Arabidopsis thaliana: one gene and its partner. The protein of the gene in region 1 interacts with the protein of each later gene in a biochemical or structural test. Each region holds a gene or a part of one and is shown in the gene's direction. Other genes may lie near its edges.

Region 1 (4,730 bases):
TAACTAGAGAGTCATTTGTTTCAATCAACTGCCTAGGTTTATAGAAAATGAAGCAAAGAAACTTACCCTGCGAAAACGGAAGGACACATTAAAAGCCGAGGTAGTAAAACGTAAATGGGTAGAGTCATGTTACGGCACACATCTCCATCCGCAATCTGAACATGGTCTAAATTAGCAAAGCATTTTGATATTACAATTACTACATTAACAAACCAGAATGGTCATTTTAACACCTGTGTAGACTGAATCAAAGAGGTCTCAGTGACAATCCTTTCCCCTACAATTATCGACTCAACTCGGAGTAGGTGAATGTCAATAGAAGTAATAGGAACTGAAGATGCTTCCACTGTTAACTCACCACTGAGTGGATCCTGCAAAGAGCATTGGGTGGCTAATTTTCCAGTAACTCGGAAACCACCTTGTGAGATCAATTGTCCTATTAGTTTTCACATTAAGAGATGATATCTCCGAAACTGGAGTGAAAATGTTGGAAGAACAAACCTGTCTTAATATCAGGCAGCAACGGATGTCTCTGTGTGTCTTGAGTGATGTAGAAGATGACAATTTCCGGAGGAATAGGCCGCTCGGGAAGGTCAACTTCAACCAAAAACCAAGGAAAAACATCACAAAACAATCCATGTTTATTCTATAAACACCAACGAAGCAAGACAAAGTACCTCTACCGCTCTCAATAATAAACTCCATTGTTGCAGACAAAGGTTTGTGCAAGTATCCTCGCGGTATATCTGCAGTTAGTAGATACTGTCACAGATTTTTGCATCAATGTTTTCCCAATTCACAGACAAAAATCCTAAAATCCTTATTAAAAAAAGCTGATCAAACTACTGACTTGGATGTTGATATTTGTTCCATGAAATGTCTCATAGAACTTCTCTACAATGCCTTCCCCAGGCTCCCTCAGATTCAAAGAGAATGGTATCTACAGCAAAAAAAATATCCAAAAGCTTAGCTTACTCAATGTTGCAGCTATATGTGATATTTCTCAATGGGACTATGTTCTTTACCTCTGTAGTTCCCGGAGGGATTTTGCCAGAAGACTTAACTTCGATCGTCTTCTTGCTGTGGCCAAAATTCGAATTATTTGCTTAAGCTCGAGTAATTTCAACATCAAGGAATCAATTCAAGAACCAGAGAAGAAATAAATGCTTACACGATTTGAATAGGCTTGATGACACCATAGAAGGACTCAATAACTCCAGCTGATCCTCCACGAACCTGTAGGAGTGAGGAAGAAATTTAACTAACTTGGTGGAACCAAATTGAAGAAAAGCTTCAATAGAGAGAGAATCTGAAACCTGCAAGTTGACTGATCCATTGACGGATAAACGTATTGCTTGATGCGAAATCGAAGTTGCAGATTTTATCACAATTTTTCCTTCCACTGGTTCCTGATTAAATTCAAAAACTAGAGATTTCAAATTCGTCTTCAACGTAATCATAATTCATAATTAAGAGATTCGATACATACGGAAGAGCGATAGATACGATTTGATCGAGAAAGTTTGACATTCACCGTCGTCGCCGTCGCCATTTTACTCACCGAGCTTAGCTACAGCGGATTTTGTGGCAACGGCGGAGTAAATGAAACGGCAGAAGTTTTCTCTATAAGTAGGACAACAGCAGGATGTCTTTACTGAAGACAAAACGTTGATTAAATGGCAGGTAGTTAGTATCTGAGAGTTGAAAACAGCATGAAGTGTAATTCAATTAAAGTAGAAAAAGTTCTAGAGGAGACGTTACAGGCAACGCTACACTTTCTTCTCTCTTGTCTTGTCACAGAGATGATATCAGAGAGAAAGCTTAAACCCTAATATTCAAAGATGTGGAAGAAAGGGGAGCTAGTTTGGGTAAGCGTGAGCTTTTCGAATACATGGATTCCGGGTCGGATTATCGATCCATCCGAATCGTTAGGAGTTCTCGTCTCGTTCTTCGGCCTAATGGATCCGCGATACGTTCCAAAACCATTTCTACGAAGCTTTGATCGCGATTTCAAAACCTTGATTTCAGATTCAAGGTGGATTCGCCGCTTTGTGAATCGAGCTCTGCGAGCTTACTTTTGGAACATCTCGTTTGGGTTATGGTGTTCTTGCCAGCCGCGTATTGATTCGCCTTACTTGGATAGAGAAAACTCTCTCCCACGGTTTCATGCCACTTCGGATTCGGCTCTGGGGTTTGTTAGAGATATGGCTATTTCGATACGAATGCCCCTCTGGAGATTAGCTGAGACCAATAGTTCCAGTGCTCAGATCCTTAGTTTTCGGCGTTACATTGTCGATTTTAAGCGCTCCGAATCTGTCTATGAGGAGACTAGAGCAAGTAAGTTTGAAAATTCTTATTTTTGGGTTTTGCTGAGTACGATTAGGAAAGAAACCCCATTTGGTGTTTTAGAACTGCTCCATAGAGATGATTGCTACTGTTTCGCTCTATTAGGTTTATAGGAACTTCAAAATTTGAGTGTGAATCTATATGCTCTGTTTACAATAGAACAAGGCGAAGTATGGATTGACAGATATTGCTATGATTTGTATTCTCAAATAATTCTATGAATATGTGTACAGGTGCAGAGCTAAATGATCGATCTGAAGAATCAGGTTGGTGTCTTGAATACTCAAAGAAGATGGACCTGTGTTCTATGTTTCCTGAGACTGCGGATGCGGATATCGACAACAGTAGAGATTTGAGTCTAAGAGATCCATTGCCGAAGGATCTCCCTTGTTGTTCTTCTGAGCAGCATGTTGATAAAGTAGTTCAGATTTGCACATGGAATACGAGGAGCCCTCGAACCAGTTCTAATTCTAGTACCATGAAAGCTTGTGAAACCATGGTTAGAAGAGCTGTTCATGAGGATGATGGTCACCTGTCCAAGAGTAAAGAATGCTGTCAAGTTGAGCAGAATATCTGCTTATTGAATTCAGAACCTTCTATTGAAGATATGATAGAGGAAGACACCACTTCCGTTGCTGCCTCAAGAGTTGATGTATCAGAAGCACTTCCTGATGTTATGATTGAAACTCATGATGACATCATTGGTTTGGTTGATGGACCTGTGACATCGACAAATGAACTGTCACCCTTGCTTGATTCGAGCAACGACAAAGCTTATTTGGCAAAGCCTGTTTCTTTTGTTGTTCCAGGAGCCTGTCACACTCTAGCTTGTTCAGTGAGAAAAAAATATGCTAGCCCAAGAAACAAGCTTGATAGCTCTATCATCAGTGCCAAGACCTTGAATGAGCAGTCGTTAGGTAGGAATAGTCTTAATGGAACACGAGAAAACTGCTCTGAATATACGTTGGAGTCACATATTGTGGAGGTGGGACAGGTTTCGCTACCTAGTACAGGCACTTCAAACAAAGAATTTAGTTCTGATGATGCAGGAGCACCTGCAGAACAATTACAAGATTTGGAAGCTGGAACAACTGTTGAAAACCAGACGAGATCAGTTGATAATGTCAGATCCATTGGTGTCAAAAGGAAGGCAAGTCGAGACAAAGCATCTGCACGTTACTCCAAGAGAAAGAAGAAAGCAGGCCAACAATCTATTTCTACTGATAAATCGCTGAATCTACACCTGATGAAAGATATGCGGCTTGCTAATCCAAAATGTTTGCGGATGAAGTTTTTGTGTAGACATGGGGATCTCCCGTCCAAAGCAGAACTGTTGAAGAGATTCAGTGTGTTTGGGAAAATAGATGCTTCAAGAACTGATGTAAACCCAGGGGAAAGCTCTGCGAAAGTAGTATTCATGCAGAGCATCGATGCAGTGACGGCTTATCAATTTGCTAGGAGCAAAAAGTTTAGACTAGGAAAGTCTAAGGTTACGTACCGCCTCGAACCCTTTGAGGAAGACAATGAAGTAAAAAAAGTTCCTTTGCCTCAGAAGCCGCAAAAGTCTGCTCCATCACCAAAATCATGTCTCAAGGAACATGGTTTGGTAGATAAAGAAGAGGGAAGAAGGAATATGAAGGTGAAATTTCAAATGGAGACCAACTCATGAATCCGATGACATCATCATCTCAATAGTTTTAGCTTATGTAGCTCTCACGGGAAGCTTTTGTAATGTAGCTACGGTCTGTTCCTAACGAAGAACTTGCACCTTTTTTTGGCCTTGAAGCTTTTGTATAATCATGGCTTGTTTTGTATTAGAGATGACATAGTTTGTACTTGACTACATAAAATATAGCTTTAACGATGAATCATGAATGTGACTACAAACTAGGTTTCCATTTTCTGCTTCAAAATTGTTATCTGTTTAGAAATTTGGGAACTCAACAAGAGAAGAAGAAACAACAAGTTGAAAGGAAATAGCAAGCAGTGAATCTTGCAAGTACAAAAGCATAAGTTTACACTAAGGCGGGTCGTTTCCATGTATGGTCTTCTTGATCGTTATTGGCTTGGCTAGGTCGTTTGCACTCGCATTTCTTGCAAGCATCGTTTCTCCTAAAGTTCACGAAGTCGCATCTGCAAAATTAAAATGAGCCACGGGAACAAAATGGTCTGGTTTAGGATATGAAGATAACAAATTACTAAATAAGAGACAGAGAGGAAGAGAGACGCACGAGGGGCATTCCCAATCTCCAGGCTCAGCTAGCGTCTTGTGACGTTGTTCTCGGCACTCTCGACACTGTTTGTTGCTAGCAAAGTTCATATATCCACACCTGAAAATATACATACAAAGCATTCTGATCAGTACAGACAGAGCAATCGAGCAA
Region 2 (6,209 bases), on another chromosome or scaffold:
ATAACATTCCAATATAGAATTAGGGTTTAGTTGCCTTTGGAAAATTGCTTTGTAAAAAGCTAGATATTATGTTTCGTTTAGTATATCTTTGACTCATGATATTTGACATTTGATTAAAAATCATGTTTGCCTTACATGCATAATATCTTAAATGCTTGTATCACATGTCTCTAACTACCACGAAAAACTTTGTGTATAAAAAATTCAAATCTTTAATTTTTGGACGACAAATTCATTAGCGTTACTAATTTCATTGTACCTATCAGTTTTATGACGATAATAATACAATTTATTTCGTCCCAAAAAAAATAATATTTATTTATTAAGTTAATAGGAAAATAGGTGTAAATATACAAATATGTATATGTAATATGCAATTAGAGAATATATGAAACACCACTATACTATCAACATTAATATTAGTAAGATGAGAAACATAAATTAGATGATTTGAGTCAATATTTTTCCCTAGTAATCTTAGTAATAGTTTTTTTTTTCTTTTATTTGCATAGTTCATATACATATTTGTATACATATATGTTGTGCAGATCTAAAATTTTTGTTTAATACCTATTTTGCACCTCTACCAAATAAATTGTGTTAGAATTTTAAAAAATTCATAATCACAACAAAATTTCTAACACTATTTAATTTGTTGATCATAAAAAATCTGAATTTTTATGCACAAAACGTTTCTTAATAGTCAAAACTAGTGATATAAGAAGTGCAATGCCAAGAATTATAGAGATTTGAAGCGAAATTTTAAAATGACATGATTATACATAACTTTTAAGTTCTAAACTATAATCATAATAAAAAAAATTAAGATATTAAATAGAGCGAACAGACGTTTAGGTTTTTTTCGGATTTACCATATTCATCAGATTAATCCATGCTGGATTGAGAAAAAGCCTCAAGCTTGGAACAACTACATGTAAATCATAACCTCGAGATATTTTAAGGCTTTCAATGTCCCAAAGAAAGTTATTTGGTGTCGAATCCATGAGTGAAAATTGAGCTTTTCACATAGAACAAAGAGGGATATGAAATAGTACAATTTTATGTTTTAAATAAAGAAGATAAAATGAAAGGTAAATTTTATAGGTTTAGCCAGCAGAGAACAAATGAAATGAATGTTTTAAGTTTAGACACCAAGAACAAACTTAGGGTTCAAGTCTAAGCTTAGTCATATACTTCTGAACAATATTGGACTTTATTGTTCAAGTATTAAACAAACATTGAAATCTTCTTAAATCACTTTTCAAAATGCAACGAGGATCTATTCTTTTTTTTTTTTTCAGAAGAAGCTACAAGAAAGAACAACAAGTTTGGATATGAATTATAAAGTTAGTAATCCATGTAAGAGACGCTTATATTAATTAATTTATACTGTTAATTATTTCATCCGTAATTTTTATTATTATTCAATAAAGTATTTATTTTACTGAATTAAAAAATAATAATTATGGGTGTTTGGATATTCGGTCGGGTATTTTGGGTTTGAGTTTTTCGGGTTTAGAATTTTAAGATCCGTTCGAGTAATTCAAGATTCCGGGTCGGGTTTGGTTCGGTTTCGGGTTTAGTTATATATTGAAATATCAAAATTTTGTGTCCGAATCTATTAAATTATTTGAAAATTTCAAAAATTCCCTAAACAACCCGAGTAGTTTTGCTTGAATATATTTAAAAATACATAAAAGTAACTAAAATATCCGAAAAATCATAATATTGTCTATATGTAAATATAAATATAAATATTTTAGTTATATTTATATTTAAGATATGTTTGGGTACCAGTTCGGGTTCGGGTTTTTCAGGTTTTGAAGTTTAGATTCAGTCGGATATTTGAAAATTTCAGGTTCGAATTTAGATTGGGATTTTTGGATTGGGATTTTTGGATCGGGTTCAGATCGGTTTTTTCGGATTCAGGTATTATGTCCAAAGTAAAAATGGTAAACGGTGGTTGTTTTGTTTGTATTTGTAAAGCAGAAGAGAGAGAGATATAGAGACACTGAAAGCAAAGACCAAAAAAGAAAAATTAAAAAGAGAGAGAGGAAAATGGAGAGCGACGAAGCAGCAGCAGTGTCTCCTCAAGCAACGACACCGAGCGGAGGAACCGGAGCTTCTGGGCCGAAGAAGAGAGGTCGGAAACCTAAAACCAAGGAAGATTCTCAGACGCCGTCGTCTCAGCAACAGAGCGATGTTAAAATGAAAGAAAGTGGGAAGAAAACGCAGCAGTCGCCGAGTGTTGACGAGAAGTACTCTCAGTGGAAAGGTCTCGTCCCCATTCTCTACGACTGGCTCGCTAACCATAACCTCGTCTGGCCTTCACTCTCTTGCAGGTCTCCCCCTTTCTCCTTTCCTCTCCTTCTAGGGTTTCGTTTCGTAATCGTTTCTTAGCTTTGAACATTCTCATGTTTGGAATGAATTTAGTAAAATCTTACACATACATTTTCTCGATTTCTGGGTTTAAGTGAGATTGTTGCGATTGTTCTAGTTAGGGTTTTGGATGTGGCTCTGTCTTCATACCTTGATATATCTGATGTTCTATTCATGAATTGTTACTATTGATTACCTTGTTGGTTACTAATGACTAAGAGGAATTTTCAGTTTCTCTGAGTGTTTATATCTGATGAAGTCTTTAGTTGTTGTGCTAAGAGTTTCCATTTGGTGAATTGTTGTTTGATTTTTTTATAGATGGGGTCCGCAGCTTGAGCAAGCAACCTACAAGAATCGCCAGCGTCTGTACCTCTCAGAGCAAGTAAGTTTTTAGCTTTCTCTTGTATCTTGTTGTCTCATCTTCTTTATATACTTCTCATCGTATTATTTGTATTTTTCTTGGTTGTGTCACCAGACTGATGGAAGTGTGCCCAATACTTTGGTCATAGCAAATTGTGAAGTTGTTAAGCCAAGGGTTGCTGCAGCAGAGCACATTTCTCAGGTATTATGTGGTTTAATACTAAGCTTGTGTCCTTTCCATATCCTACTCCACACTACAATTGGTTTCATGTTTGACACTTATATACTATCTTCTGAAAATGTGTTCTCAGTTCAATGAAGAAGCACGTTCTCCATTTGTGAAGAAGTACAAGACCATCATTCACCCTGGAGAGGTGTGAATTCTGCCCACTCTTGAGATATTTCTGTATTGACATTGTTCTTTTTAGTTCTATTTGGTTTGTTAATTGTATCTGCATCCCTGTTTCATCTGTCCATGAAGTTATTCGTTTGGCACGTTGGTGAAAGTAAATTTTGATGTGTATTCATTACTAATTTGCAATTGCAGGTTAACAGAATCAGGGAACTCCCACAGAATAGTAAGATTGTTGCTACTCACACCGACAGTCCTGATGTGAGTGCTGCTTCTATTTTGTTATGGTCATAGCAACTTGAAATATGTCGGTTTCATATTTCTGTATTTGGCAGTCAAAGAGCATCCTTTGTTCGGACATATGTCCAGTTTCAGAGTTATCTAAATACAATATGTTGATTTCAGGTTCTCATTTGGGATGTTGAAACCCAACCAAACCGTCATGCTGTGCTTGGAGCTGCAAATTCCCGTCCAGATTTGGTATGTCCACTTCTGAGAATGTTGTTTTATGCTTTATTCTTGTTTGTTTCTCATCATTGGAAGTGATAAATCTCTTTGATATCTTCTTAAATAGTGCTTCTTGTTTGCATCATCTGAATGAACCATTTTTCATGCAGATACTAACTGGGCACCAAGATAATGCTGAATTTGCTCTTGCCATGTGCCCAACGGAACCCTTTGTGCTCTCCGGAGGTTTGTGTTTCTGTAATTTGTAGAGTCCAATCCTGTGGTTTGCCAGTTTCTCATACAAAAGTTCTTCTCTTAGGCAAGGACAAGTCAGTTGTTTTGTGGAGTATCCAAGATCACATCACAACGATTGGGACAGATTCCAAATCATCTGGATCTATCATCAAACAGACTGGTGAAGGTACTGATAAGAATGAGAGTCCTACTGTTGGCCCACGAGGTGTATATCATGGCCATGAAGATACAGTTGAAGATGTGGCATTCAGCCCGACGAGGTAACTTCTTAGAACAGACTCCTTCTATTGATATCGTGTTTGTTTATGCATACTGCAGATATTTTCATGATTTTCTAATAATACTTCTGGTGAACTTTTATACCGTGAAGTGCACAAGAATTCTGCAGTGTTGGTGATGATTCTTGCCTTATACTATGGGATGCGAGAACTGGCACAAACCCTGTCACGAAGGTACTCTATCTTTTGAATCCTATCAAAAGTTTGAAGATTTACCTCCTTTTGATATTATATCTTACTTTTTTGTTTTCCAGGTTGAAAAAGCGCATGATGCTGATCTTCATTGTGTTGATTGGAATCCTCATGACGACAATCTGATCCTGACAGGGTATGGAGAAATACATACAAATAGATGATTAATACATACTTAGTATCTAATTAAGAAATTGATGAATATTTCAGGTCAGCAGACAACACTGTCCGGTTGTTTGATCGTAGGAAGCTTACCGCTAATGGAGTTGGTTCGCCTATTTACAAATTTGAGGGACACAAAGCTGCTGTTCTTTGTGTTCAGGTATAATCAACTTTTTTTTTTTTTTTCCTTCTTTGTATGAAGTATATCTCTTAACCCACTGACACTATCTTGTTATTCAATTCAGTGGTCTCCTGATAAGTCATCCGTCTTTGGGAGCTCTGCAGAAGATGGTCTCTTGAACATCTGGGATTATGACAGGGTGTGTACATAGTTCACTCAGATGTCTAAAATTAATCTTTCTTCACTATCATCACTGAAACATATTCATTGTACTCATGTTTGGTTTGTTTAATTAACCATCAGGTCAGTAAGAAGTCTGATCGTGCAGCTAAAAGCCCCGCTGGGCTCTTCTTCCAGCATGCTGGTCACAGGTTCTTAAAGACTTATCTTGATTTTTCTTGATTGCTTTCTCATTTTACTTGCTTCTAAGTTCCCTTGTTTATAAACCATATTAGGGACAAAGTTGTTGATTTCCACTGGAATGCTTCAGACCCTTGGACTATTGTCAGTGTTTCTGATGACTGTGAGACTACTGGTGGAGGTGGAACATTGCAGGTAACCTTGAAATCTTTCTTGGTACCTTGATAAGCAATTTTATTGACATACCGTTAAATGTTGTTTATACTTTCTTCTATGGCAGATATGGCGGATGAGTGACTTGATTTACAGACCAGAAGAAGAAGTCGTGGCAGAATTGGAGAAGTTCAAGTCGCATGTTATGACTTGTGCCTCCAAGCCTTAAGAGTAAAGAAAACCCATTGTCTATCTATCTATCGCCTATGGTAAACTAATGCGGGTTTTAGCGAGGAGTCTTGGTTTTTGTAAGGCTGGTTTGTCTTTTGAGATATTGGTGGTAGCTTTTAGGACCTTTCCATATCAGTTAGGGGTACATGGTTCTGGTTCATGATCCTGTTTCATCAGACTCTTAGGTGCTGTTTTGTTCAACTGAGATGTTAATCAAATCGGACCAACTTTATGTGTTTTGGTTTAAGGTTTCAATACTTGGCCTGAACCTAATGATTCCTTCTCTGTAACTAGTCGAGACCAACCCGGCTACAAAAAAAATAGTTGCATTGATGTTCAAATGCAAAGCAGAAGGGGTCATTATAAAACAATATAGTAATAAGCATCGCAAAATTTGGAAACTGGGTTCTTGATGATTCGTCGCATCTTAAATAATGTTTGCATTGTCGTTTTCATTAGAAAAAAACTGTTAATCACGCTTAGCAGTAGGATTAGGTGATTTTCAATTCACAGATTTATTCGTAGGATTTTGAAGAAATTTTAAGTATTAACAGTCACTAAACAATCAGACCATTGCAAATCATACATAGATCACCTGGTCATTTCATAAAACTAAACTATATGATAATGTTTTACTTTATTGGGCTTAACGTTAATGGTCCTCCCGCTTAATAGGCTTTATGAAGTCTCTTGATGAGCTAGAGACTTTAAAAATCCAATCACAAAGCCTACATGAGACCGTCAAGATCAGTCAGAGAAGATCAAACGAAGAAGTTTTTGTTCCAAAAGATACTAAAGAGAGAAACATGAATCAATGTATTGCTTGAGGAATAAGGTAGGGAAGCTAATCAATCACAAGTAGACGAATCGGAGTATTTCATAAAATTAGGGTTTTTAGACCTACATTTTCTTTTCTTTT

Evidence for each region. The genes of interacting proteins can lie anywhere in the genome.
Region 2: the proteins of AT1G48560 (region 1) and FVE form a complex in vitro, tested with the Arabidopsis thaliana proteins (one study listed by BioGRID).

What each region holds. Positions count from the first base shown.
Region 1 is NC_003070.9:17,951,094-17,955,823, forward strand, and holds AT1G48560 (uncharacterized protein), read left to right. Parts: upstream 1-1,765; 5' UTR 1,766-1,841; coding exon 1,842-2,337; intron 2,338-2,459; coding exon 2,460-2,516; intron 2,517-2,579; coding exon 2,580-4,015; 3' UTR 4,016-4,180; downstream 4,181-4,730. Other genes in the region: AT1G48550 (Vacuolar protein sorting-associated protein 26), read right to left, coding at 67-155, 234-418, 502-597, 678-762, 851-940, 1,026-1,080, 1,172-1,236, 1,317-1,409 and 1 more; AT1G48570 (zinc finger (Ran-binding) family protein), read right to left, coding at 4,362-4,479, 4,578-4,676.
Region 2 is NC_003071.7:8,453,948-8,460,156, forward strand, and holds FVE (Transducin family protein / WD-40 repeat family protein), read left to right. Parts: upstream 1-1,808; 5' UTR 1,809-2,058; coding exon 2,059-2,342; intron 2,343-2,697; coding exon 2,698-2,761; intron 2,762-2,854; coding exon 2,855-2,941; intron 2,942-3,050; coding exon 3,051-3,113; intron 3,114-3,286; coding exon 3,287-3,352; intron 3,353-3,496; coding exon 3,497-3,571; intron 3,572-3,708; coding exon 3,709-3,784; intron 3,785-3,857; coding exon 3,858-4,053; intron 4,054-4,163; coding exon 4,164-4,245; intron 4,246-4,325; coding exon 4,326-4,399; intron 4,400-4,473; coding exon 4,474-4,585; intron 4,586-4,670; coding exon 4,671-4,745; intron 4,746-4,849; coding exon 4,850-4,917; intron 4,918-5,001; coding exon 5,002-5,101; intron 5,102-5,186; coding exon 5,187-5,288; 3' UTR 5,289-5,695; downstream 5,696-6,209. UniProt on the Arabidopsis thaliana protein: Core histone-binding subunit that may target chromatin assembly factors, chromatin remodeling factors and histone deacetylases to their histone substrates in a manner that is regulated by nucleosomal DNA.